2 linked regions of the Mytilus edulis genome follow. The protein of the gene in region 2 interacts with the protein of the main gene of each other region in a pairwise test. Links are inferred from orthologs where the notes say so. Each region holds a gene or a part of one and is shown on either strand. Other genes may lie near its edges.

Region 1 (3,761 bases), on a different chromosome or scaffold from region 2:
CAAAAAAGGTCTATAAAATTGAGAATGGAAATGGGGAATGTGTCAAAGAGACAACAACCTGATCATAGAAAAAACAACAGCAGAAGGTCACCAACAGGTCTTCAATGTAGCGAGAAATTCCCGCACCCGGAGGGGTCCTTCAGCTGGCCCCTAAACAAATATATACTAGTTCAGAGATAATGAACACCATACTTATTTCCAAATTGTACACAAGAAACTAAAATTAAAATAATACAAGACTAACAAAGGCCAGAGGCTCCTGACTTGGGACAGGCGCAAAAATGCAGCGGGGTTATTAATAAACATGTTTATGAGATCTTAACCCTCCCCTTATACCTCTAGCCAATGTAAAAGAGTAAACGCATACATGTAATAATACGCACATTAAAATTCAGTTCAAGAAAAGTCTGAGTCTGATGTCAGAAGATGTAACCAAAGAAAATAAACAAAATGACAATAATACTTCAATAATAATAATAATACAATACAGACTTCAACTAAACTGATTGAAAGATTATGATTTCATCATACGATTTGCATACATGAACATGTAACTGAAATTTTCTGGAATCTACATTTGATCAAATGAAAACATTTTGAACATGCATTTTCTTACAATTACGAAACAAAGTTACAGGACACACCCAATAATTAGTTAAAATCAATCACTTTTACATACAAAAATATACATTTGTAGCACTTACAACATATCAAATTATTGACTTTCAAGACACGTTAATACCTCTCCTGGCCGATCCTGCCATCTTATCCAAACTTATAAACATTAAAAAGGTTCTATGTGTTCATATGGAGGAACAGTGTTGTACAATACAGATATAAAAGTAGTCTTACTGTTTGAGCTAGGGAAGATTTTCTTTTGCTCTGTCATTGTCAGTAATTAGAGCCTTTATATTCTTCACAAGATTGTCAGATTAATGGAAATGCATGATTTTGGACAGGGAGAGTCACCAGAAAATGTTAAAAGTGATTTGATGTAGAGTATGGTCAGAGTTAAAGCAATACTTTTCAAGGAAATGAAATGCCTCGCTGAGCACAGCTGGATACGACCGCAGGGGTCCAACTCCAACCCTGAACAGCTGGGGCAAAAATGAACACAATATTCACGCTTGATACAGGCCAGGACTGTTATTCTGTAAACATTTAATTATCACCCCTTTTTTTTCTAATCTTAAAAAAATTGACCCCTTTTTTCTCTAATCTTCAAAAATTAACCCCTTTTTTCTCTAATCGTCAAAAAATTAACCCCTTTCTTCTCTAATCTTCATTTTTTTTGCCCGTTTTTCTCTAATCTTCATTCTTTAAGGGCATTATTCTTTAACCATTTAACCCCATCCAAAACCCTCTTACACTATGCTGTTGCATATTGACCCCCACCCACCCTTTTTGCCAAAACAAATAATTTTCTTTTAAATTTCAGAAATTTGAAATAAGCAAATCCCCCCAAATTCTCCTAAAAAAAATTCACCTCCCCTTTTTCCCAAAAAAAAAATTCTTTTCCTTAAAATATGATCATGTAAATCTCATAACAAAATCAGACTGGAAAAAAATTCAAACTTAAAATGTTAAAATTTGTCATGATAAAATAATACACCTATAATATCTTATCAATATCTTTAAGCATGATGAAAAAAAGTGCAGAAAACTGATTACTGAGTGAATTTTCCGAGCCCAAGGACCATAACTCTGCACCAATTATTCAGATCAGAAGTTAACATCATACTTCGTCTTGATCTGTATGTCATAGTAAAACAATACACCAAATATCAAATCAATATCTTCAAGCAGGAAGAAAAAAGTGTGGAAAACTGATTTGCTGGACTTCCAGATGGACAGACAGACATAGTTCAAGCCTAAAGTCTCCTTCTACTTTAATTTGGCGGTCGGGGACTAAAAACTAATTTTCTTTATTTTTTAGCAATTCACCATGTTCACTCACTAAACATGCTAGTGCACCATAAAAACTTATTCACAACAAAACCCTTTAAAAGGTTGTAAACATGTGGGTACAAATGAGATAGGGGTGAACAATAATATAGGAACAAACATGATTTGTGCGAATGGACCTGTATTCGACCATTGACCCTCCCCCTTAAATTAATCGTGCTCTACTCAATTTAGAACTGTAGTGCAAGTATGGATGCTCGTGTAAATTCGAATATTCATGTAAAACTAGAAATATTATCTTTCTTTATTATATATGTGCCAAACTTGAAAAAAACCACTCAGTCATTTACCATTTTTACAGTGATTTTGCAAAATTGACTAAAAGTGTTGTTTTCTTAACAAATTAGTTATTATTAAATAATTCATACATCAAAATTACTAGGCATAGTAAAGTTATGAGATGAATGAATAGCTCCATCTATAAGATTTTCGCTAATTCCGTTTCCAAGCGTGCAAGGACTCTTTGAAACATTTTGTTGAAATCCACAGACTCCAGCAAGTGCCATTTTGTTTTTAGTGTCTGCAGTAAATATATTTGGAAAATGATATTGATGAATAACAAATACTAAATTCTTAAAGTTTTTTTATATTCAATTTTAGCAAAAGCAAAAAAATCATTTCATCTTAAAAGTATCAAGACAATAATGATTTTCTTGTTTGACAAAGGCAGCTGGTCATAAATAAATAACAAAATGTACGACGGTGAAGACGTATATTTTCCGGGGAAATCAATACTCGATTTTATTATACCGACATGTATTACATTTTTTTTTTTACATACATTTATAATTGAACTCTAATTTTCTATTATTCTATATATTGTATTATATTATTACACCAGTTTTCGATATCACAAACTAGTCAATAGTTATCAAAGGTACCAGGATTATAATTTCAAGTACGCCAGACGCGCGTTCGGCTACATGTATAATTGAGTCATCAGTGACGCTCATATCAAAATATTTATATAGCCAAACAAGAACAAAGTTAAAGAGCATTGAGGATCCAAAATTCCAAAAAGTTGTGTCAAATACAGCTAAGGTAATCTATGCCTGTCTATCAAGCTGATTACGTAAAGATTTATTAATTTTACATTTTAAGAAAAGTGGGTTTTATTTTTAACCGCATTTATATTACAATGTTTACATATTTTATTTTCTCTTTGAATTCTTTATATCTACCCCTCTCTATTTCCAAGAAATGGTCACTTACTCGCATTTTACATAATAATTTTATATTTTCAAAACTATTTTTAGAAATGTATTTGTATATTTCATATTTTGTTTTTATTTTACTGTACAAGAATATTTTACTGGTTTCATTAGTTAATTTTAATTTTTCAAAGCAAATATTTTCAAAGCTATCTTTTAGTTCTTTTTTAAAAAAAATTGAGAATGAACTCTAGCTTCTCTTGCTTATAGTTTATATCCTGTATTTTATTTATGTTTAATTTATTTACATTGGCTATATTTTCTACATATGAGAACCATGAAAATATACCGTTAGTGCTAAGCCATTAAGATAAACAGAAAGCATCATATAATAAAGGGTTATTTTCATCACTAGAAATTCTTGCTAAGTACTTCAATGACTGTACTTTAATAAAGACATCTATGGGATACTGAGCTAGTTCTGCTCTTGCAGCAATATTGACAGATTGTTTACTAAGTCCCAGTATATATTTGCAAAATTTTTAATGTGTCTTCTTCACTTGGCTACTATCAATCATTGCTAGAATATCAAATTTACTCATGTCTCTAATTTGTGCTCGTCTTTCAGCTCTTATTATTTTTTCA
Region 2 (3,761 bases):
TTAATTCAGTGTAAGACTTAAGTTTCTAAGGACAACACCAAAAGACCAATATGCATTAAAAGCAAACATGTTATTCACATAGTTAAGTCTGTGGCTTCTGGTTTTTTTTTTAAATCATGATCAAGTTAAGAACAAAATTACTAAATTACAAAAGGAATACAACACTAACAGGATACAGAAGGGCAATCAATGAACAAAAGACAAATAAAAAAGAAACATTGATCCCGAAAAATCAGGGGCTACGTCTGAGGGAGAACATAACTTCCTTCTTGCAAGGCATTCCTTGTGATCACAATTTGATATGGAGTTGAGCGTTTGGTTTTGAAATTTCCTACATTGTAGTTACTGCCCTGTAATAAAAGTGAGGTAAGTGTTCCTGAGTAAATATACCTAAAGTTAAATGAAACTAATTTTCAGACGTTTCCAGTATATTTAAATAATATTTATACTTTTATTATTAAAAGATTAGGGAAGTGTTTCCCGATTTAAAAAAAAAGAAGATGAATTTATGAAGAATCTGATGCCATCCTATACTTTCAATTAGACCTACTGAGTTATTTATTTTTTCAATACTGTGATTGCAAGTCAGGTAATTTATTTTCAAACTACCACAGAACAAAAACCATTCATTTTTTGTGATTATCAAGGCTGAGTTTATATTCATTTTCAAAATCCTCCTGCCCCCCCCCCCCCCCCCCCCCCCCCCCTCCCCAGAATATCAAATTGTTGTCCCCTTATTATGAGCAAAATATAATTATGAAAAAATTAAACATATGCACATTTACATATGCAAAAAAGCTGTACAAAATTTCTCTGGCCTCCTATATATACCTTTGAGTTTTGGAGTTTTTGCGCTTGTAAATATTATTGACTGTCCGACGGACTCACAGACTTAATAAAAACTATAGGGATCCTTTATCCTCTCAGGGTTTCCCAAATATTGGCCAAATTAAGAATAGATAAAATGGCTTATAAAATTTATGAATAAAGAATTAAAGGACCCCTCTCAAGGAGTCGGTTTTCCCAAAAAAAATCTTACAACTAAGATTGATCGTAAGTCATGAACAATTCAGTATACTTGAAAATTTATAAGATAAATCTTAGTCTTAAGTTTTTTTTTGTGAAACTGACTCCAGACACTCATTTGTCTAAATGTATGTGTTAAGCCAATTTAGACCGTTCTTGTCTATGTTCAAGATGGTTACTTTTGGTTTTTAGTGATTTGAGAACTCTTCTCTGTTGGAGACTTGAAATGATTATCACATGAAAAGTAGCAGTAGATGTTTTTTTAGCTGAATTTTGCAACAAAATGCCATAGATTCACTGTATATTTGTGCCATAAATCGTCGTGATGCACGACGCATATGAGGCCATATCACTTCTTGAAAAACTACCGTTAAAAATCGAATCTATAACGTGCCATGGTATGACATGATTTATTTCCTGGGATTTCCTGTTCAATATTTATTGACAGTGTGACATGTTTAGTTAATTTTAAGATGAATCTTCACAATACTTACAAAAATAACTTTCAGATTTAAATAAACACATTCACTTCATATTCCCCCTAAATGTATTTATATGAATTTGATAAAGAGTACGTGATGAGTGCAATTTTTAAGTCTACAGACTGCTTTGATATCTGCTTTCAAGCAATCTGTAGACTTATACCATTGACTCAGGGCTCTATGCCCTCACATCAACCGTTTTATTCTAAACATTCAGCAAAATCTCAGATTCTTATGAAAAGGTAAAAACAAGCAAAAGGATTGAACTTAAACAACTTTCCTGTAATGTTCTTCTCATAATCTTTATGTTTGATATTTCCCTTGACTTATATGCATGTTTTTAACAACACAGAAAATCAGAATTAAGCAGTATATATATTTAGTGTTTTTATAAATTTAGAAACACATCGGAGGGAATTCCCCAGTTTTGATAAATGCGAGAGTTTTCTGAATTCGGATAATTCTATTTCTTTCATATAATAGAATTGAGAATGGAAATGGGGAATGTGTCAAAGAGACAACAACCCAACCAAATAAAAAACAACAGCAGAGGGTCACCAACAGGTATTCAATGTAGCGAGAAATTCCCGCACCCGGAGGCGTCCTTCAGCTGGCCCCTAAACAAATATATACTAGTCCAGTGATAATGAACGCCATACTAATTTCCAAATTGTACACAAGAAACTAAAATTAAAATAATACAAGACTAACAAAGGCCAGAGGCTCCTGACTTGGGACAGGCGCAAAAATGCGGCGGGGTTAAACATGTTTGTGAGATCTCAACCCTCCCCCTATACCTCTAACCAATGTAGAAAAGTAAACGCATAACAATACGCACATCAAAATTCAGTTCAAGAGAAGTCCGAGTCTGATGTCAGAAGATGTAACCAAAGAAAATAAACAAAATGACAATAATACATAAATAACAACAGACTACTAGCAGTTAACTGACATGCTAGCTCCAGACTTCAATTAAACTGACTGAAAGATTATGATTTCATCATATGAACATCAGGCACAATCCTTCCCGTTAGGGGTTTAGTATCATACCATCATAACATATATGAGAAGAACATAACCCGTGTCATGCCAACAACTGTTTTTAGAATAAATGTGTTTAGTTCCGATGCAAAGACCTTATCAGTGACTCAATATTAACGCCAAAATATGCAATCTTTAATGACTTGACAACAGTATCGTAATTATATCCCTTCTTAATAAGTCTATTCAAAGGTTTTGTAAGTTTCTGAGGTGAATACTGACACCTTTGTGCTTTATAAAGAATATTTCCATAAAAAATCGGATGTGAAATACCTGAAAGTATTAGAAGTCTGCATGTTGAGCTATATTTACGAATGATGTCTTTATACCGATGATAAAATTTAGTAAATGTTTTGACTAGTTTGTGATATCGAAAACCCTGGTGTAATAATTTTTCAGTAATACATAAATTTCTCTCGTTAAAATCTAAAACATTGTTACATACACGAGCGAATCATACAAGTTGAGATATATAAACACCGTAAGATGGTGACAAGGGAACGTCACCATCTAAAAACGGATAATTAACGATAGGAAATGAAAAATCGTCTCTTTTATCATAAATTTTAGTATTCAGCTTTCCATTAGTGATATAGATATCAAGATCGAGAAAAGGGCAGTGGTCATTGTTAGTATTAGCTTTATTTAAAGTAAGTTCAACAGGATAAATTTCATTAATATACATACTGAAGTCGTCATTATTGAGAGCCAAAATATCATCCAAATATCTAAAAGTATTATTAAATTTGTTTATCAGATGTTGTTTCGATGGGTCTTTGCTTATTTTTGTCATAAATTGTAACTCATAACAATACAAAAACAGGTCCGCAATAAGTGGTGCACAGTTAGTCCCCATTGGAATTCCGATAATCTGACGATATACAGAATCCCCAAAGCGAACAAAAATGTTATCTAGTAAAAATTCAAGGGCATATATAGTATCAAAGCATGTCCAATTAACATAGTTTTTTTGTTTATTGCTACTAAAAAATGACCTAAAAGAGTTTGAACATATATATTCACATTCTGATTTTTTGAATGCCCATTTAATTAGGTGTGTGAATTTTTTCTTAATGAGAATGTGAGGCAATGTGGTATACAGGGTAGAAAAATCAAATTTTGAACAGATTCAAAATCACCAATATAAGCATGCAATTTATCAAGTACTTCCAACGAGTTCTTGACACTCCAAAAGTAATTTATTCCACTATT

Evidence for each region. The genes of interacting proteins can lie anywhere in the genome.
Region 1: the proteins of vam6/Vps39-like protein (region 2) and proteasome subunit beta type-5-like interact in a two-hybrid assay, tested with the Caenorhabditis elegans proteins (2 studies listed by BioGRID). The link is inferred for Mytilus edulis from reciprocal best matches to the Caenorhabditis elegans genes vps-39 and pbs-5.

Annotation. Positions count from the first base shown.
Region 1 is NC_092348.1:49,873,416-49,877,176, forward strand, and holds the start of proteasome subunit beta type-5-like, read right to left. Parts: upstream 2,501-3,761; 5' UTR 2,472-2,500; coding exon 2,334-2,471; intron 1-2,333. UniProt on the Caenorhabditis elegans protein: Component of the 20S core proteasome complex involved in the proteolytic degradation of most intracellular proteins. This complex plays numerous essential roles within the cell by associating with different regulatory particles.
Region 2 is NC_092346.1:54,794,174-54,797,934, reverse strand, and holds the start of vam6/Vps39-like protein, read left to right. Parts: upstream 1-1,217; 5' UTR 1,218-1,351; coding exon 1,352-1,424; intron 1,425-3,761. UniProt on the Caenorhabditis elegans protein: Plays a role in vesicle-mediated protein trafficking to lysosomal compartments including the endocytic membrane transport and autophagic pathways.